Linked DNA regions of Macaca mulatta. The main gene of each other region encodes a partner of the protein of the gene in region 4 in a complex. Links are inferred from orthologs where the notes say so. Each region holds a gene or a part of one and is shown on either strand. Other genes may lie near its edges.

Region 1 (5,166 bases), on a different chromosome or scaffold from region 4:
TTCTAAGAAGCCTGTGAAGAACAATAAGAACTGCACCTCAGGTGAGAATCACTGCTGGAGAGTTTCCAATCCACTTTGATACTATTATTTTTATTGAAAATCAGTATATTGGTGTTCTGATCTGCATGCATATTTCTGGGCATAATGGCCAAGAAGTTATGGTAAATCACCCAATAAGACTCCAGGCTGTAATAGTAAACCCAAGGTATTCCTCCGAAGCCCTGCTAAGGAGGCTCGAAAGCCTGCCTCATATTTCCTCAAACAAGGGCCTCTGTGCCAACTGCGCATATTTTCAAACTGCAATAGCAAGGTGATTTCCCAATTTTCAAGTAAATTTTTGTAGTATGTCTTTTCTAAAATATCTTAAAAGATATTATTTTCACCACCCAGCATCTCACCTCATAGCATTCACAGTAGTTTTTAAGACATCCTGATCGTTTGCAATTACATCCTTTGCTATGACGTCGATCAGATTCTCCCTCCTTTCCTTTCCCAATCTTAGGCTTAAAGGCTTCTGGATTTCTGTCAAGGCATGCCTAGCAAAACAGATCAAATATCAGAGTTAAATCACAGTAGATGAAATTTAAACACTGCAAAAGGAATTGAAATGTTTCTTTGCAAGACAACTGAGTTATTTAAAAAATTGGTGAAACTGGATATTTCTGTCAGTTAAATGAAATAAAAAATAATCACCTTTATTGCTTTTTGCCTTTCATTTTCATGTTCCAAATTGTTATAACAATTAGTACAATTGCAGTTGTTGCAAAATTCACCATTTGCAAAGCAATCACAATATCTGAAAGGTAAAAGTCAGTATAGGTAAAAAGTCATTATTAAGGAAAACTACTAATTACCTGATTATATATGCATACATTATATATATATTGTACATGTACTACATATGTGGTAAATCATTTCAGAAATCTACTCAGCTACCCAGTTGAAGAGTTAACAACATATATTGTCAACCGCATACTAAGGCTCAAAGTTTAAATCACCAAGTCCTAGAATTTTGACCTAAAAAACTTAGTCCAACCAGTAACAGCTATCGCACAAGAGCTATATAATTTTATGTGCCCCCAAAGTCAGGCATTTCACAATTCTGAAAAAGGAAGAACACTGGCTATATTCTAATAGTTGAGCTGGCTCATTTGAGTTATAGTAGTACTTCTTTGGATTCTATGCCCCAATAAGACTAATGCTTTTCATTTAACTAGTTCATGTCAAATCTTTATAATGCTAATAAGCAAATTAACCATTCAATGATTTTTAAAACTACCTAGAGTATCATCTCTTCACATAGTAGACCAAATACAAAAGTCATGAATAAGATCAAACATTATTAAGGGCAGAAGCTATGTCTGTCTCATGCTGCTATGTCCCTGACCCCTACTCCAGTGATTCATGTATAGTAAGGACTCTAATATTTCTTTCTAAAATGAATGAAATATTTTTATACTGCCATATATGTGCAAACATTGACTTATATGTTTATTTAAATTACTTAGACTTACAAGCTTTGGTCTGTTAAAAATTTTTAGTTAACTCCATTTACTTTTAAGAGCATTTCTAATTATATTAAATGAGCAAAGAGTAGCAAAAACACTTACAATTTCAAACACAGTGATTTTGTACAGTTACAGGGCTTTCGGGGCCGACTGGCAGACTCTGATGGGATTATGCTGTACGGATAGAAAAAATATATACATTTAATCAATTAATAGTAACTAAAATTAATTTAGTTGCTACAATTAATTTAAAATTTTAAAAATTAGACCTAAAACTAATTTAAGATTAGAAAAGTCTCCAATCTATAAATTGTTCCAGAAATAAAGTTTTAACCAATGTTAAATGTGTCCATCTAAAATAAAAAGTTTGCTATGTTGTTCTGTTTACATTAGGTCCAAAGGCAAGTTGTAACATGAAAAGAGGTAAAGACAAGATATGGAATAATTTTTTAAAAAGAAGTTATCAATAGCTGCTAAAGAACACTCCACAAACACTGTCCCTTCTAAGAAAACAAAGTTGAGATTGCCTCAAAACTCTTGGGATTCAAGTATAAAAAGGCAGTGAGGAAAAGGAGTGTGTGGAGGAGGAAATGGAAGTGGGATGTGGACTGATTCCGGGTAATTAAGCACTGCTTCTAAGCTGATATTGCAAAGGCAGTAATTAACAGATAAATAAACATCAACAAAAAACAAGGACCTAACATAATTTTTAAAATAGTTGGGCAGGTGCAGTGGCTCAAGCCTGGAATCCCAGCACTTTGGGAGACTGAGCCAGGAGGATCACTTGAGCCCGACTTGGAGATTAGCCTGGGCAATATAGTGAGACTGCATCACTACCAAAAAATTTAAAAATTAGGAGAGCGTGGTGGCCTGCGCATACAGTTCCAGCTACTCAGGAGGCTGAAGCAGGAGGATTGCTTGAGCCTGGGAGGTGGAGGTTGCAGTGAACTGAGATCACAGCACTGCACTCCAGCCCGGGCAACAGAGCAAGACCTTGTCTCGAAAAATAAAGATAAAAAATAGTTAGCATCATCATTTTGGAAACATACTCAGAAAGAGAATAATAAAACCAATGTAGCAAAATTGGTGAACCTGAATAGAGTATTTGGGAATTGACTATTTCTGTAATTTTTCTGTTTGAAATATTTCAACAAGTATTTTAGAGGCATGCTCACATAGCTTTGAGGGGAAAAAAGTCAAAGAGGATGTAGTTTGGAATATATGTATTTATTGTTGCATTTAAGCTGATCTAACAACTTATGTACCTATTTTCAAAATACTCACCCATTGAATGGAAGCCGTGCCTGGGTCTGGATACCAGATGTTCCAGTAAAGGTAGAGTTGCTTGCTATTGATACATATGAAGACTGCTGTAGCTACATGTAAAGAAAATTAATTTTAGATCATATTTCCAAAAACGGACAATATTCTCAGGTATGATGATCAGTAAGCAATACAAATTCATCTATTAAAATAAGAAAAACACAATGGAGAATTTCATACAAACACATACTCCACAGAGCTCTTTTAAAGACTCAAACCAATACTATAGGTGAAAATAATGTGAACATTTTATAGTACTACATAGTACAAATATAAAGAAAGTATTTCACAGAAGAGTTAAGTATGTCAGAATGATAGGAAATTCTAGATGAATGCTCTCGAAGTACTGTAATAACTTGTTTTGGCTAGAAAAATGTAATGTGCCTACTTACAAATAAAACAGGTACTATATTGATCATTTATCACACTACAAATTACAGAGAATAAGTTACATGCACAATAGTTGAGTTTCTATTTTACACCAACTTCTAAACATTAGAAATGCTTATGACAAAAATACTGAACGTTATTCTTTTTATCAATAGCCACAAAACATATTCCAAAGTATATTTCATTAAAAAGTACACGTGTGGGTTTGTTTCCCTGTCTTTCATTCTAAAGATGACCAGTAAGAGTAGACAGATCGCTAAAGATATGTCACCTGGAAATGCATCTCACAGTTTATTTTCCAATAAATAAACTTGGACTTATTTTCCAAGTCAGTGGCATCAAACTGATGTGTGAGGAAGAGCTTTGTAACAGCCACGGTCTTTTCTAAATTCATTTGGACTCTGCCGATTTTAACTTCAGTCTATTTTCTATCATACCGCCACAGCCTTGGGCTCTTGCCAAGCTGCTCTCAGCTCCAAATTGTCTGACTTGTATATCTGACCTCTGTTATATATTTCTAAATGCTAAAGGTACACAGAAATAAACTTAAAGGTTTGGGTTAACATTTTAAGATTTTGGAAAGTGCCACTTCAATACTGAGTTAGATGTGTTTGAGTAGTTTCTGTGATAGCACTAGACATCTTGGACCCCGTTATCACTTTTGCAATACAATGACTTCATTTTTTCCACATACCTGAGTAACATACTGAGCTGGAAGCACTGCATAACCCACATTCCCTGTTCCCGGAGCCGGTGCCAGGACAGTGCCTGGTGGCAGGTTAGTGAGGTTGGGCTGGATCTGTGGCAGTGGTGTGGCAGGCATGATAAGCCGTTGCTGTGGCTGGCTAGTAGTTACTATTTGTGAAGTTGGATTGATTGGTTTTGGAACAACCTAAAAAGAAGGGACATACATCAATGACCACAAAATAAATTTTACAGCTGTTCAATTCAGTATAAATCTCTTGCACCTAAATCTTAACGTTCTATTTAAAAAGTAACTCATCTATTTGGGAAAGACTCAGAAAGAAGTTATGTGATACTCACTTGTTTGACAGCCTGAGCTGAGACAATTGGAACTGACATCCGCACTGGGGTTGTATTAACAACCACTGGCTTTGCTTTTTAAAAAACAAAAAAAGGGTGAACAAGTTATTTACAGAAAATAGTATTTAAAACACTTAAGAATACTTAGCTCTCCCAAGTTTTTCTCATAAAAGAGCTTAAAGAATTCCATTTGATTCCTAATTTGAGCAATCTTTAATCAGGATAGTTACCTTTCAAAACCACTTACCCCATCTACCAGAGAACTTATATCTAAGGTGGCTACAGTCTATCCACTTTATGAGGGAATATTTGTAGGTTCAAGACATTCAAATGAAAATACCTCAATCTGTATTCAGATGATTTATACATTCAGTACCTAATCCAGTCAAATGAAATGTATAAATAAAAGAACTGTCATTCATAAGCTTGAGTAACAACAGCACTCTATACTACTATTTCTAATTGCTGTTTCTATTCAAACCACAGAATATGTCATTCTTGGGTCTTTTTTTTTTCTCTCTTTTTTTTTTTTTGAGACGGAGACTCGCTCTGTCTATCACCCAGGCTGGAGTGCAGTGGTGCAATCTCAGCTCACTGCAACCTCCGCCTCCCAGGTTCAAGCAATTCTCATGCCTCAGCCTCCCAAGTACCTAAAATTACAGGCACACGCCACCACATCCGGCTAATTTTTGTATTTTTAGTAGAGACTGGGTTCTGCCATGTTGGCCAGAATGGTCTCGAACTCCTGACCTCAGGTGATCCACCCGCCTCGGCCACCCAAAGTGCTGGGATTATGGGCGTGAGCCACTGCACCCAGCCAGTGTAATTCAATATTTACAGAATACATACTAAAAGGCAGCACAGCAAAAAGGATAAGAACATGGGTTCTAAAGTCATAAGA
Region 2 (5,799 bases), on a different chromosome or scaffold from region 4:
AATGTGTATCTACCATACTCTATAAAATCTTACTCAGCCTCTGCCTAATTCTTTGACATCATTTCTCTTCCACTCTTCCCTTGCACAGAGTAGTACTCAATATTAACATTCGTTGAGTTTTTATTGTATGCTCAGTATGCTAACCAGTTGCATAACTAGTTCATTTAATGCTATAAACAGCGGTTCTTAACATTTTCTGGGTAAGCCACATCTTTGGAAATCTGGGAAAAAAAATGAACTCACTCCCCAGAAAATACACATATGTACAAAATTTTTCAACATGTACTTTTCTCTAAACTGAATTTGTTTTGCCAAATATCCCAAAGGAATTTCCAATGGCATTTTAATTGTAAAGAACTCAACCAATACACTGCCTTAACTAAAGCATTAAAAATTAGCTTCTCTTTGTTACCAATTTCTGAGGAATGTTCAACCATAACAAAAATAAAGTTATTGGGCCAGGTGCGGTGGCTCGTGTCTGGAATCCCAGTGCTTTGGGAAGCTGAGGCAGGAAGACTGTCTGAGCCCAGGAGTTTGAGACCAGCCTGGGCAACATAGTGAGACTTTATCTCTACAAAAAATAATAAGGCAGGGCACGGTGGCTCACGTCTGTAATCTTAGCACTTTGGGAGGCTGAGGTGAGTGGATCACCTGAGGTCAAGAGTTTGAGACCAGCCTGGGCAATATGGTGAAACCCTGTCTCTACTAAAAATACAAAAATTAGCCAGGTGTGGTGGTGTGTGCCTGTTATCCCAGCTACTGGAGAGGCTGAGGCATGAGAATTACTTGAACCCAGGAGGCAGGGATTGCAGTGACCCGAGATCGTGCCATGGCACTCCAGCCTGGGTGACAGAGTGAGACTCCGTCTCAAAACAAAATAAATAATAATAACAATAAATTAGCTGGGCATGGTGGTGTGAGCCTATAGTACCAGCTACTTGGGAGGTTGAGACGGGAGGATAGCTTGAGCCTTTGAGGGTGCAGTGAGCTATAATCATACCACTGCATTTCAGCATGGGCAATAGAGTGAGAGAGACCCTGTCTCTAAAAGAAAATTTTAAAAAAAATTATTGGGGGTACAATCTAATAACCTACATGGGTGACCTTATCCCACAGTCTGGGATAGAACTCAGACTCTGCTGTGAGTCTTACTCTCATAAATTAAGTAATTAGATGGCTGTATTTGAATTTCAGTTTTCTCCTTTTCAAAGAAGCTCCAGCAAATTTATCACGAAAAAGACAAAAGAGTAAATGACAAACATTTTCAAGTCAATGTTATCTGAATTAAATTTTAAAGACAGTGACAGGTGGAACACTAAAAATAGAAGTGAGAGAGCTAGGCCATGGAATATTTTGGAATGAGATACTTACTGAGACGTTGAATTTAAGTTCAAAGTGCTTGACTTGATTTTTTCAGATTAAAAGAAAACATTAGGTGGAGAGGAGTAAAACTTTGTAAGAGATGAGAATGAAGACTTTTAAAAATCAAGAGTGCAAATAAAGTGACCATAGGGATGGCTAGAAGACCAAAGGAAAAAAATTTAACATTTTTAATACTCTTCCTGGCCAAAGAAAGGAAACTAAATTGAGAGAAGACAAGGAAAAAAAAAAACCAAACTCAAGGAACACATCTCTAAAATCCCCAAAATTTGTAAAAACAATTTTAAAATAAACTAAAAAATTTAATAACAATTACCTCTATTTCTATCACTTGGCTTTTTAAAAAAATTGTGGTGAAATATACATAAATTTTACCATTTTAATAACTTTTAAGTATAGAGTTCAGTGGTATTAAGTACATTAATTGTGCAATCATCACATTCATTTCCAGAACACTTTCACCTTCCCAAACTGAAATTTGGTACCCATTAACAATAACTCCCTATTCCCTTTTTAAATGCCTTTCTTTCTGGCGAGAGAAGGACATTTTTGCAAGAGAGCACCCAGGAAGGAGAATCTCTTTTGACTCCAAACATCCAAATTTCTTGTTTTTCCTTCTTTTTTTTTTGAGACGGGGTCTCGCTTTGTCACCCAGACTGGAGTGCAGTGACATGAACATGGTTCACTGCAGCCTCCACCCCCAGGCTCAAGTGATTCTCTTGCCTTAGCCCCCCAAGTAGCTGGGACTACAGGTGCACGGCACCACACCCAGATAATTTTTGTATTTTTTTGTAGAGATGGGGTTTCACCATGTTGTCTAGGCTCGTCTTCAACTCCTGAGCTCAGGCAATCTGCCTGCCTCAGCCTCCCAAAGTGCTGGGATTAGAAGTGTGAACCACCACGCCCGGCCATAATTTCTAACACAGTATGTACCTGTGCTCACAAAATTTAAGACTCGGTTAAACGTAAAACTTAAGATCAAGTAATATATTATTTCTGCACATATCTAATCAATCTTTCAATACATGTTAATTAAAGACCTACTGTTCGTCAGGCACTGTGCTAAACCTGGAATCCAGCTATGAACAAGACAAACTTGTAATTTATAATCTAGCGTACAAGGGGCAAAGTTAACATAGTAACTATGCTGACAAGGAAGATACTGAGGCAATGAATAATGGTGGGGAAGGGCAACTCCAGATACTGTGTTCTAAGAAAGACTCTTTGGGAGGTGACATCTAAAAAGAGAACTGAAACTGGAAAAAAAAAAAAAAAAAGTGTGTATGTTTGAGTCATCTTTTGGTCTCCCAAAGCACCTAGCATTATGCCTTTCATGTAGTAGGTACTCAATACAGCTCACCTTGGCTTCAATTTCTTCATTCCTGCAATGAACTTCCAAGATTCCTTCCAAATACAAAATCTGTTTGTCTAAGGGAGGGAAACCTATATATCAATAAAATCGATATATAGTTGGGATGCGGATGGTAGAACTAAAAATGAGTTTAAAAATGACTGCAAGACCCTCTCTAAAGCAGAACCAAAAGCAAAAGCATGGGAGTATACCAAAACAACTTGTTACTTGAGATGACTTGCATTTTACACAACATATAAACAGAAATCGTTCATTCACTCAGCCTTAAGAAACAACACGTAAAGCAGATGAAAGAGCGGTTGCGACCTGTGCAAGACAACACTTAAAAGCTCAATACTCATTCTCCTCGCGACTCTCTCGGCGAGGGGCCGAGAACGTCCCCCGCTTCTCTTGCTGCCACGGCAATGGTCCCAAACTGAGGAGACAGGAGAGAGATCATGTTTCTCTTGCGGTTCACTATCGAGATGGGGTCAGCCAGCAGCCCCTGCGAGGGTTTGAGAATCGTTCCATCTGTGCGCTCAATCAGAAGAGAACTGATCCTTTCAATGGGATACCCCAAGGAGAAAACTACAGTAAGGCACGTCCTCCAGTAACATCTCCTCCTCTACCCTCAGCCTCGCCCAAATAGAGATAAGGAAGGGCCAGGGCGACCCCTGTCCTTTTACCCAGAATGAGTCCCTCCCTAGTGCCCTCCTCCACACGCCTGGTACAGAGCAGGGAAACTGGGCACCTCTGAAGCTGCTGCGAAGAACCGGTGAGCTGAAGACGGCGATGGATCGCAAGAAAAAAAACAAAAGGGAAAGGAGAAGAGCCCAAGAAAGAAATGTATGTTCGAGGGGCAGAGACAGAGTGGATGTTCCCCATACAGCAAAGAAGGAGGCTGCAGGCAAACATCCCTAAGCCGGCTCTTACCGTCTGTGGGAGACGCCATCTTCCAACCCATGTCACGTGACGTGGCCAACCGTCGGCGGGAAAACGAGGATCCATAAGCCACGCCCCCAAAGAGAAACCCTATCCCCAACTCGCAGCCACGTCTCATTCCCTCGCCTCATAGGGCAATCTTCGCCCAGCCCCTCCCCTCATCATAGCCACGCCCCTTATGCAGTTGTTGAGGTGGAGCGACAGCAAAATTCTTGGAGGGTCTTATTTACTTTGCTCAGTGAAGGGGTGGGGCCTCGGTTGCGTCCTTGGCCAATCGGAGTTCCAGGTTAGGGGGCGTCTCCTCCGTGTGCTCAGTATGGAGTGTCCAAGTCGGGGGCGTCTTCTCTACCTCCGCCAACGGCATTGGCTGAGGTAGGAGAGGGTGCGAGCATTTTCGCTCCTGACCAATCACTTATCCCCAGGACTGGGGTGTGAGAGGAGGAATCAGGTGTTAGGACGAGTGATTGGCTGAAGAAAATAGTCCTCCCCACCAATGAGGAAGCCCGGCAGGATGGAGGGCTAGGCCTGGCAGCTGTAGTGCGTCTGAGCTGTAGAGGAGCGGGTTGCGGAGCTAGGGCGGCCGAGAGCCATGGCGGCGGTAGTGGCGGCGGCGGCGGCGGCAGTGCGAGCCAGGATCCTGCAGGCGAGTGAGGGTGGCGCCAAGGCACCATGAAGCTAGGAATTGGATCCTTTCCGTCCGCTCCCTGAGCCGTCCTCGGGCTGGGACCACCTTCTTGGCCCAACCCCTTTTTGGCCGGACCTCCTACCTAACCTGTGGGCCCTGTCCCATGCCCAGCCCTCACTTCATACCCTCCCTCGTCCCGGATCCAACCCTGGGCTGTTACCCTTGGCCCTCTACCCTTTTACTCCTAAGCCTCCTCTTTTCTGGCTCTCGCCCACTCTCCTTCTCCAGCTCTGCCCGCTCCCTGCTGTCAGTCTCTTGCCCTCATCTCTCCATCCGCCCACCGTCTTTCCCTTTCACCTCTGCACCAGCGTTCTCTCTATCCCCCAGAAACTACTCTTTTTGGTTATTCTGTCCCCTGCCTTGAGCGTCCACGTTGCCATTGCTCCCTTCCCCCACCCTACTTCACTGTCCGTGGTGATCCGAGGTAAGAGGGAGGGGGAACGTGAGGGGCGAGGGTCAGTGTATGAACTTTGAATTTTCTTCTAGAAGTGGACTCTAGATTTTCACCAAAGGCAGCCATTTACCGAATTATTTTCCCTAAGTGTGGCTCTTTGTATTTTCCATAGACTGGCTGTCCCCTTTCTTGCCAAAACTTTCAGTGAAACTTTCTCTCAGCCAAGTTAAACAGTTTACATAGATAGGGCACATGTACATAGGGTAGATAAGGGCACACAGTTAACGCTACCAGTATGTTCCATGTACGTTCAAGGTACTAAACATTTTCAAAACAGGTGATAGAAAGTGGGAGCCAGGTAAGACAAGAAGTCTAAGTTCCCACCCCAAATCAGCTCTTCTAGTGCCACACACCCTCATCTCTGCACTTGGGGGATTGAGTCCTTTCTGAAGCCAACCTAAGGAGAAATGGTAAAGCTACAGGAGTTGCATGCCTGAGGCCTGTAATCTCCAACTCTATAGTCTTTCCCCTGTTCATGGCCTACCAAGGATTTAGAGTATGAGGCAAGATTTACTGCAGGCAAGAAACAATCAGCAAGAAACAACAGTGCCCTTCTTATTCATTACATCCAGTCTGAGAATTTCCTCTGTATTGCTGCGCTTTTAGGTAATATTAGTATTCACCAGGTTTCCGTGAGTTCTAGTACAGAAACTTGGGCATTTTCAAGATTCTTGGCAGAGTCAGCAAAGATTCACGTTTAAATATGCTATTTAATGGGGACGGTAGAAAGGATGAGTTTGAAGGGTTTGTCAGATGGTCTGGCCTCATATTTCTTGCTGTGATCCTTGTTCTGTTCTAGTATCTTTTTTTAGTAGCAGGAAAACAAAGTTTCCACCCTATATTTTTCTTACCAACTTCTTGAAATCTTTTACTGAAATTGGTTTTTTTCCTTTGCCTCCTCTTCCCCTCCCATCACAACGAGTCATTGAGAACCTTAAGAAAGTATTTTGTTCTTTTCCATCAAGGAGAAGAATCTCTCTTTCCTTG
Region 3 (5,166 bases), on a different chromosome or scaffold from region 4:
TGGCTGGGATCACAGGCGTCCGCCACTGGCTAATTTTTGTATTTTTAGTAGAGATGGGGTTTCACCATTTTGGCCAGGCTGCTTGAACTCCTGACCTCAGGTGATCCACCCACCTTGGCCTCCCAAAGTGCTGGGATTATAGGCGTGAGCCACTGCGCCTGGCCCCAAAGCCGTATTTAACCTCAGTTTATTCCATTTATGGTCATGGTAGTAAAATTATGTCATGTCAATTTAGAAACAGTATGTCAGGGAACATGCTCATGTAGAAAGAATTTTCTATAATGCTTAAAGTTAACAGAACTTAAAATGCTTCTGCATACATAATTCCAAAATTCTATTCATTCTGGTAAAGACACAAACGAAACACTATTCATTCTGTTGCTATTATTTCTAAAGTCAAATGCAAAAGTCTGACTTTCACAGCTATATTCAGAATATTGTGTAACCAATAAAGGAAATCAACAGCCAGCTTGATCCTTTTTTTTTTTTTTTGGATACATACAGCAAGCATCTTATCAAATAAGATACCATTTCACCAAAAGTTTATTAGTAGAGTGCTCAGAATTAACTTAGAATGAAATAAAAATCTTCTCTAAGAAACAGTAAAATCAAACTGTTATTTAACTTTTATATCCCTCAGTTTCATCATTTACAAATTAAACTGTAGACTATACCTATAAGGCACCTTCCAATTCTAAAATTCTACAGTCTGTTAAAAAATGACATAGTATACATGAAAAATTGGAAATATTTTATATTACAATTACATTTTTAAATTAAAATGCCTCTGATGTAAAATAATACAAAAAGCTATTCATAAACAGATTTTCTCACTTACCTCCAGATTCTGACATTCCTGAGCAGAATTGGTAGGCAGGCCAATCCACTTGATTTCTTTTTTTTCCTTTGAAATTATGTTCATTGCCATTAGCACATTTAAAGCATCATAAACTCTTCGCCTAATGTTTTTCTGATCGTAAGCCTGCTAAAAAACATTTTCATTGAGTGATAATTAAGGGTTAAGATACAGTCACATGATATTAATATGTCAAATTAATATTATGTCTTCAAAGTGCTGGAAGGATTCTATTTTTTTATTTAGCAAACTGACAAAGACATCCAAAAGAATTCTATATTCCGTGAAAATATCCTTCAAAATTAAAGATGAAATAAAAATACTTTCAAACAATATAAAACAAAATAATCTTAAAAATAAAGATCATGTTACCTGCAGATCTACACTGAAATATACTAAAGGGATTTCTTCAGGTAGAAGAAATATCATCTAAGATGGGAGCTTAGAGATGTAGGATAGAATGAAGACCAATCCAAAAGGTAAATATGTGGGTAAATCTCAATTTTCACTGTATAAAACAATAATAATGTCTTATGGAGGCTAGAATAAATACAGAACTTAATTAATATACATGACAATAAATAGTATATATTAACAGAAAAACATATTGGAGGTAAAGTGTTCTAAGCCCTTGCATTATCTGGGAGGATTTTAGACTTAAAAAAATCAAGGACATTTATTCAAGTTCTGGGTAAAACTGTGCTTCTCAAAATGTGTTCCTTGACCACTGTTGATCTGCAAATTGTCTCCAATCTACAATGAGATTAGGAACTTGCACCAAAATATAATCCTCTATATGACAATGGACACTGTTCATTCAGTTCAGTTGACCATTTTTCTTCTTTTTTTTTTGAGACAGCGTCTCGGTCTGTTGCCCGGGCTGGAGTACAGTGGCGCGATCTCAGCTCACTGCAACCTCCACTTACCAGGTTCAAGTGACTCTTCTGTCTCAGCCTCCTGAGTAGCTGAGACTACAGGCGCGTGCCACTGCACCCAGCTAATTTTTGTATTTTTAGTAGAGACGGGGTTTCACCATATTGGCCAGGCTGATCTCAAATTCCTGACCTCGTGATCTGCCCGCCTTGACCTCCCAAAGTGCTGGGATTACAGGCGTGAGTCACCCACCTGGCCTTTTTCTTCTATTTTTTTTGATAGAAAGACTTACTCAATGAAGGAAACCATGTTGGTTTACAACGTGGAACAAGGTCCTCAGGAAATGCAATGATAATAAAGGATGGTGGAGAACACTGAATCCACCTAAATATAAAACTAGATCTAAGTAAGTGGGGGATTTAAGTTATAGAACTGAATGTAAATATTAGAAATCTTGACAATAGGCAAGAAATCTTGACAATAACATCAATAGATATTAGAAATCTTGACAATGATTAGAAATCTTGACAATGATTAGAAATCTTGACAATGCTTGTAATCCCACCACTTTGAGAGGCTGAGGCGGGCGGATCACCTGAGGTCAGGAGTTCAAGACCAGTCTGGCCAACATGGCAAAACCCCATCTCTACTAAAAAATACAAAACTAAGCTGGGCGTGGTGGCACATGCCTGTAATCCCAGCTACCTGGGAGGCTGAGGCAGGAAAATCTCTTGAATCCAGGAGACGGAGGTTGCAGTGAGTCAAGATTGTGCCACTGCACTCCAGTCTGGGTGACAAAGCTAGACTCTGTCTCAAAAAAAAAAAAAAGAAATGTTGACCCTGCAGAAACAATGATCCTGTAACAACAAGTCCTGGGAGGAGGCAATGTGGTAGGTATGCCAATTTCCTCTTTTTGATATTGGAAGGGATATGGATGTTATTCAAAGCAGATTAAATAATAATAAAGGGTTCAGCACAATATTTATTTAAAGTAATAAAAATAACTGTAATAATAATAATGTTATTATTATTATTTTCCCGAGACAGAGTCTTGCTCTGTTGCCCAGGCTGTAGTGCAGTGGTGAGATCTTGGCTCACTGCAACGTTTGCCTCCCAGGTTCAAGCAATTCTCCTGCCTCAGCCTCCTGAGTAGCTGGGATTACAGGAACGTGCCACCATGCCTGGCTATTTTTTTGTATTTTTAGTAGAAACAGGGTTTCACAGTGTTAGCCAGGATGGTGTCGATCTCCTGACCTCGTGATCCGCCCACCTCGGTCTCCCAAAGTGCTGGGATTACAGGCGTGAGCCACCATGCCAAATATTTTTTAAATGTTAAAACAAAAAAATGCAACTAAGGCCAGGTGCAGTGGCTCACGCCTGTAATCCCGGCACTTTGGAAGGCCGAGGCAGGTGGATCACCTGAGGTCAGGAGTTTGAGACCAGCCTAGCCAACATGGTGAAACCCTGTCTCTACTAAAAGTACAAAAATTAGCTGCGAATGGTGGTGTGCGCCTGTAATCCCAGCTACGCGGGAGGCTGAGGCACAAGAAGAGCTTGAACCTGGGAGGCAGAGGTTGCAGTGAGCCAAGATCGCACCACTGAACTCCAGCGTGGGCGACAGAGCGAGGATCCATCTAAAAAAAAAAGAATTCCCTCCAAAATAAAACTCAACAACAACAAAAAATCCCCCAAAATAAAGGATGAAACCCTCAAGTATAATTGTTCATCTAGCTTACCTGATTCCTCAAATCTATAACAAAGATAACACAAAGAGATACCATCATCCATCAAAATCAATGTCAGGTTCATGATCTACCTACCGAATCAGCAGCCAAATGGTTATTTGAATTGGTGAACTCTGACACCAGCTCATCAGCGACTTCATTGTATGATGTTGTACCTTTTCGTTGAACTTTCTCACACACCTTCATTGAAAAGTGTCTCAAGCCTTTCCCATTTTTATCTCCTTTTTTGCTTCGTTTACTAGAAGGGAAAAAAGTTTTTTTACTCCATTATACATATTAGAGACTTCCTTTACAAATCTCTGTAAGATAATTCAAGAAGACAGTAATTTAACTTTTACTTCGGGTGTCAAAAATTTAAATTGAATAGAGATGAGAAAATGTTTACTTAAACTTACTTTTTGCCTTAAAGGCCTAATAAAGTATGAAGTTAGAGTGTTTTTCTATGCACATCATTTATTTATTTATTCAACAAATATTTATTGACCAGTTACTATTCTATGCCAGATACTGTTATTGACACTGAGAATAAGTCAGTGAAAAAACACAAAAACTTTGCCCTTGTATAGCTAACATACTTATCTTTTCGTATTCTATGTAGATTATAGGTTTTTTACTGAAATTAAAACTACAGTCATTTGCCACAGAAGGACATTTCAGTCAATGACGGGCCGCATATACAACAGTAGTCCAATAAGATTACAATGGAATTGAAAAATTCTCATTGCCTAGTGAGGTAGTAACTATCATAATGCCATAGCATGATGCAATACTCACATGTTTGTGGTGATGCTGGCAAACAAACCTACTGCTCTGCCAGTCCTATAAAAGTCTAGCAAATGCAATTATGGACAGTACATAATACTTGATAATGATAATAAATGACTATGTTACTGGTTTCTGTATTTACTAAACTATACTTTTCATCATTTTAGAGCGTACTTCTTCAAATTATAAATTAAAAGTTAACTGTAAAAAGCCTCGGGCAATCCTTCAGGAGGTATCCAGAAGAATGCATTGTTATCACAGGAGATGACAGCTCCATGTGTGTTACTGCCCCTAAAGACCTTCCAGTGGGACAAGATGTGGAGGTAGGGGACAGTGATATTGATGATCTTGACCTCCCTGTAGGCCTAGGATAGTGTGTCTCAGTTTTCTTTTCTTTTTTGGAGAGAGAGTCTCACCCTATCCCCTAGGCTGGAGTACAGTGGCATGATCTCTACTCACTGCAACCTCTGCATCCCAGGTTCAAGCGATTCTCCTGCCTCAGCCTCCCCAGTAGCTGGGATTACAGGTGTGCGCCACCACACCTGGCTCATTTTTGTATTTTTAGTAGAGACAGGGTTTCATCATGTTGGCCAAGCTGTTCTAGAACTCCTGACCTCAGGTGATCCACCCGCCTTGGCCCCCCAAAGTGCTGGGATTACAGGCGTGAGCCACTGCGCCTGGCCCCTGTCTCAGTTTTCTGTTTTGGGGGGTTTCTTTGGATTCAGGGTCTCACTCTGTTGCCTGGGCTAGAGTGCAGTGGTGCCATCATGGCTCACTGCAGCCTAAACCTCCTGTGCTCAAGTGATCCTTCCACCTCAACCTTCCAAGTAGTTAGAATTACAGGTGCATGTCACCATGCCTGGCTAATTTCTTTTCTTTTTTGTAGAGACAGGGTCTCGTTATGTTGCCCAGGCTGCTCTTGAACTC
Region 4 (5,166 bases):
ACTATAATACATTATTGGAGCAATAGGGACATATGGGGAATGGGAAAGCCTAAGAAAGCTAATCTCCCATAGCAGAGGATCAATATGTAAACTGGCACATCATTTACAGAGATAGTGATAAAGAACTCAAAAAGATGAGTCTGTTTTAGTAGAGTGAGTTAACAGAGTGGTGACAAAGACTGATGTTTTTCATTACAAACCTTTTAAGAAAAAAAAAAAACCTTTTAGCAGATTATAGTACTATCTGATTTTTGACTATTTTCTTTTTTTTTTTTTTTTTTTTTGAGACAGAGTCTCGCTCTGTCGCCCAGGCTGCAGTACAGTGGCGCGATCTCAGCTCACTGCAAGCTCCACCTCCCGGGTTCACACCATTCTCCTGCCTCAGCCTCCCGAGTAGCTGGGACTACAGGCGCCCGCCACCTCGCCCGGCTAATTTTTTGTGTTTTTTAGTAGAGACGGGGTTTCACCGTGTTAGCCAGGATGGTCTCGATCTCCTGACCTCATGATCCACCTGCCTCAGCCTCCCCAAAGTGCTGGGATTACAGGCGTGAGCCACTGCGCCCAGCCTGACCATTTTCTTCTTCTTTTTTTTTTTTTTTGAGATGGAGTCTCGCTCTGTAGCCCAGGCTGGAGTGCAGTGGCCGGATCTCAGCTCACTGCAAGCTCCGCCTCCCGGGTTTACACCATTCTCCTGCCTCAGCCTCCCGAGTAGCTGGGACTATAGGCGCCGGCCACCTCGCCCGGCTAGTTTTTTGTATTTTTAGTAGAGACGGGGTTTCATCGTGTTAGCCAGGATGGTCTCGATCTCCTGACCTCATGATCCGCCCGTCTCGGCCTCCCAAAGTACTGGGATTATACATTTTCTTCTTAAAGAAAGCCCATCTACTCCACATCTCAAGTCTATTCTGTGTTAGAAGAAACTGAAGTCGAAGAGAAGAGGCTAACCAAGAAGACACAGTGAGCTGGGAACTGGATGAGAACTAGACTCCAGGGTTCTCACTTTCTTGCTGAGGCCTCCCTTATCACCATCTGTTCTTTTAAGCTGACAGAAGACAGGGCCTTCCTGGGGAACCACCCTTCCTCCCGACTATGCATGCCTCTGGGAGTCCTGAAGCCGAGGCTGGGTGTTAGAGAACAAGAGCATAGGACCACAGTACCCACCAAGGAACCCTCCTCCATCAGAAACATGGGCCTGGCCTCCTGAGAACCTGCCCCAACCCCCAAGAAGACAGCTTACCTCCCTGGCAACATCTTGGCAATCTCGGCCCAGCGGTTGCCCAGCACCTTGTGGGCCTCGCAGATAATGCGGTCCTCCTCCTCGGTCCAGCAAGACTTCTTCACCTCAGGGTTGAGGTGGTTGTGCCAGCGTTCACGGCACTGCTTCCCCAGCCGGCCCTTCAGGTGCTTGGCAATCAGTGTCCACTGCTTTGTGCCGTACTTCTTAACCAGCTCGATGACCTTGGAGAAAAGCCTCTGGGTAGCCAGTTGCACCAGCCCCTCCCTCGCCCTTCACATCCACCTGAGCCTTGCCACGGCCCTGGGAGGTGCCACCTACCACATCCCCTCAGGCAACACGGAGCGGGTGGCAGGGGATGCCACGCAGTATGACTCTGTGTAGCCCATAAGTCCTACCTGAGGATCTGACCACACCCCTCTCATTTACTGCCTGGAATAAATCTAGGTCAAGAATGCCAGCGACTCTTTCTAGAGCAGAGATCAAGCCGGGGTAAACAAAGGCACCAGAGTCCTGCTTCCCTCTTCAGGGCTCAACCCAATAAGCTAAGTATAAAAGAGCAGAGGGATGAGGAGGAACAACCACAAGGGTCCAAACTAAAGGTGGGAAATAGACTTTCCCACCCCGGCCATGCCCCAGGCTGCCACAAGACCTCCCAGCACTTCTGTGGAAATTGGGAGGGCACAGGCTGAGCCATGGTAGCAGGCATGGCGGGCTGACCTAGCTGGACCTGAGTCCCCACCTGCCCTCAGTCAGGCTTCCTAGCTCAGGACACAAACCACAACATACTCAGCCACAAGAGCCAGGCCACGCCCTGCCTATACAACAGACACACACATTCTCGTGTGCACACAGGCCACAAGAAACTGGGAAGAGTGGATGCTTCTTTTGGCAAAGATTTTGGTGAATAAATATTTGACTTCATTTCTGTATGGTTTAAATTTTTATAGCAACCACATATCACTTTGTTTTTTGTTTTTGTTTTTTTTAAAGATTTTATGTTTTTACTTTATTTTCATTTTTTGAGATGAAGTTTTGCTCTTGTTGCCCAGGCTGGAATGCAATGGCACAATCTTGGCTCACCACAACCTCCGCCTCCCAGGTTCAAGCGATTCTCCTGCCTCAGCCTTCCAAGTAGCTGGGATTACAGGCATGCGCCACCACACCCGGCTAATTTTGTACTTTTAGTAGAGACGGGGTCTCTCCATGTCGGTCAGGCTGGTCTTGAACTCCCGACCTGAGGTGATCCGCCTGACTCGGCCTCCCAACGTGCTGGGATTATAGGCATGAGCCACCGCGCCCAGCCCAATTTTATGTTTTTACTTTTTTAGAGACAGGGTCTCACTGGTGTGCAGGGGGGCGATCTCAGCTCACTGCAACCTCTGCATCCCAGGTTCAAGCGATTCTCCAGCCTCAGCCTCCCAAGTAGCTGGGATTCAGGTACACCACCACACCTTGCTAATTTTTGTATTTTTTGGTAGATGGGGTTTCATCATATTGGCCAGGCTGTTCTCAGACTCCTGACCTCAAGTTATCCACCCACCTCAGCCTCCCAAAGTGCTGAGATTACAGGTGTGAGTTACCACACTCAGGCAAAAAAGTATTTTCAAACTAAATTTTATTTTATTCTTAAGAGACAAGGTCTCAGGCCGGGCCCAGTGGCTCATGCCTGTAATCCTAGCACTTTGGGAGGTCGAGGCGGGTGGATCACCTGAGGTCAGGAGTTCGACAACAGCCTGACCAACATGGCAAAACCCCCTCTCTACTAAAAACGCAAAAATCACCCAGACATGGTGGCGTGCACCTGTAATCTCATCTGCTTAGGAGGCTGAGGCAGGAGAATCGCTTGTACCTGGGAGGCAGAGGTTGCAGTGAGCTGAGATCATGCCATTGCACTCCAGCCTAGGCAACAAGAGCGAAACTCAACCTCAAAAATAAATAAATAAATAAATAAATTTCATTCTTTTTCTTTTTCAAGACAGAGTTTCACTCTTACAGCCAAGGCTGGAGTACAATGGCGCAATCTCGGCTCACTGCAACCTCCGCCTCCCCAGTTCGGGTGATTCTCCTGCCTCAGCCTCCCAAGCAGCTGGGATTACAGACATGCGTTACCATACCAGGCTCATTTTTGCATTTTTAGTAGAGACACAGTTTCGCCATGTTGGTCAGGCTGCCTCGAACTCCTGATGTCAGGTGATCCACCCACCCCAGCCTCCCAAAATGCTGGGATTGCAGGCGTGAGCCACCACACCCAGGCTTTATTTTTTTTTTTTTTTTTGAGGCAGGGTCTCACTGTGTCACCCAAGCTAGAATGCAGTAGTGTGATCATAGCTCACTGCGGCCTTGAATTCCTGGGCTCAAATGATCCTCCCAACTCGCCTTCCATCTACAGGCACCCTACCACCACACTGAGTTAATTAAAATTAATTTCAAGGTGAAGTGCCAGCCATGGCTCATGACTATAATCCCAGAACTTTGGGAGGCCAAGGTGAGAAGATAGCTTGAGCCCTGTAGTTCAAGACCAGCCTGGGAATCATAGGAAGACCCTGTCTCTATAAATTAAAAAAAAAAAAAAAAAAAAGGCTGGGCACAGCGGCTTGCGCTTGCAATCCCAGAACTTTGGGAGGCCAAGGTGGGTGGATCACAAGGTCAGGAGTTCAAGACCAGTCAGGCCAACGTGGTGAAACCCCATCTCTACTAAAAATACAAAAATTAGCCAGGAGTGGTGGTGGGAGCCTGTAATCCCAGCTCCTCAGGAGACTGAGGCAGAGAATTGCTTAGATCCGGGAGGCAGAGGTTGCAGTAAGCCAAGATCGCGCCATTGCACTCCAGCCTGGGCAACAAAGCAAGACTCAGTCTCAAAAAATAGAAAAAAAGAAAGAACAGGAATAGTGGCTCATACCTATAATCCCAGCACTTTGGGAGGCTGACATGGGAGGATCATTTGAGCCCAGAAGTTCAACCAGCCTGGGCAGCATAGCAAGACACTGTCTCTACAAAAATTTTTCAAGAAGATTAGCCAGGCATGGTGGCACATGTAGTACCAGCTACTTTGGAAGCTGAGATGGGAGGATTGCTTGGGCCTGGGAGGTTGAGACTGCATGCAATGAGCCGTGACTGTGCCACTGTACTCCAGCCTGGGTGACAGAGCAAACCTCTGCCTCAATCAATCAATCAAAAAAATTAGCCAATGCTCTCCAGCCAGTGCAACAGAGTAAAACCTGTCTCAAAAAAAATCAATTTAAAAATATCTAGTTCCAGGCTGGGCGCGGTGGCTCACGCCTGTAATTCTAACACTTTGGGAGGCCGAGGTGGGTGGATCACGAGGTCAGGATTTCGAGAGCAGCCTGACCAACATGGTGAAACCCCATCTCTACTAAAAATAACAAAAAAATTAGGCAGGCGTACTTGCACGTGCCTGTAATCCCAGCTAATCAGGAGGCTGAGGCGGAAGAATCGCTTGAACCCAGGAGGCGGAGGATGCAGTGAGCTAAGATTGTGCCACTGCACTCCAGCCTGGGCAACAAAGCGAGACTCCATATAAAAAAAAAAAAAAAAAAAAAGTCTAGTTCCCTTCATCTCCCTCTTTCCCATGAGCCACGCCTGCCTCGGTAGAATGGCATCCTCTGGGGTGGTATCAAGGAGAAGAGATGAGGGAACTCCCAAGGTATACCAGGGCAGTCATGGCGCTTACTGCCTCTTCTAGGTTGGGGACATCCCCAGCCTCTCTGAGCCCTGCTCTCACCATCTATAAAATGGGACTAACAACTTCTGCCCACTTCGCAGGACTGCTATGGCGATCAAAAGAAGGCATCTATGCTTGCCCTGTGAAGGTCACAGGGTGCAATCATCATTAAATCAGGGATAGCAGCAGCTGCCATTTGCTGAGAGCTCACCATGTACAGGACCTGCAAGCCCCCTACAAACATCAC

The links.
Region 1: MYBL2 (region 4) and LIN54 share a complex: the UniProt entries of both Homo sapiens proteins name them as parts of the DREAM complex. The link is inferred for Macaca mulatta from reciprocal best matches to the Homo sapiens genes MYBL2 and LIN54.
Region 2: the proteins of MYBL2 (region 4) and LIN52 are in contact, whole or in part, in a crystal structure (PDB 6C48), measured with the Homo sapiens proteins. The link is inferred for Macaca mulatta from reciprocal best matches to the Homo sapiens genes MYBL2 and LIN52. Residues at the interface, in NP_002457.1 of Homo sapiens: Trp663, Val666, Ala667, Gly669, Thr671, Asp673, Gln674, Phe676, Lys680, Ala681, Gln683, Leu684; in NP_001019845.2 of Homo sapiens: Gln84, Ala87, Tyr88, Gly91, Leu92, Glu94, Ser95, Met98, Thr99, Lys102, Phe103, Leu107, Glu108, Lys109.
Region 3: MYBL2 (region 4) and TFDP2 share a complex: the UniProt entries of both Homo sapiens proteins name them as parts of the DREAM complex. The link is inferred for Macaca mulatta from reciprocal best matches to the Homo sapiens genes MYBL2 and TFDP2.

Annotation. Positions count from the first base shown.
Region 1 is NC_133410.1:50,833,042-50,838,207, reverse strand, and holds part of LIN54 (protein lin-54 homolog), read right to left. Parts: intron 4,340-5,166; coding exon 4,266-4,339; intron 4,114-4,265; coding exon 3,916-4,113; intron 2,885-3,915; coding exon 2,793-2,884; intron 1,683-2,792; coding exon 1,611-1,682; intron 797-1,610; coding exon 694-796; intron 537-693; coding exon 399-536; intron 1-398. UniProt on the Homo sapiens protein: Component of the DREAM complex, a multiprotein complex that can both act as a transcription activator or repressor depending on the context. In G0 phase, the complex binds to more than 800 promoters and is required for repression of E2F target genes.
Region 2 is NC_133412.1:147,265,694-147,271,492, reverse strand, and holds the start of LIN52 (protein lin-52 homolog), read right to left. Parts: upstream 3,703-5,799; 5' UTR 3,696-3,702; coding exon 3,665-3,695; intron 1-3,664. Other genes in the region: ALDH6A1 (methylmalonate-semialdehyde/malonate-semialdehyde dehydrogenase [acylating], mitochondrial), read left to right, coding at 4,263-4,316.
Region 3 is NC_133407.1:44,951,692-44,956,857, forward strand, and holds part of TFDP2 (transcription factor Dp-2), read right to left. Parts: intron 3,713-5,166; coding exon 3,550-3,712; intron 986-3,549; coding exon of another isoform or gene 983-985; coding exon 839-982; intron 1-838. UniProt on the Homo sapiens protein: Can stimulate E2F-dependent transcription.
Region 4 is NC_133415.1:96,520,666-96,525,831, reverse strand, and holds part of MYBL2 (myb-related protein B), read right to left. Parts: intron 1,459-5,166; coding exon 1,238-1,458; intron 1-1,237. UniProt on the Homo sapiens protein: Transcription factor involved in the regulation of cell survival, proliferation, and differentiation. Transactivates the expression of the CLU gene.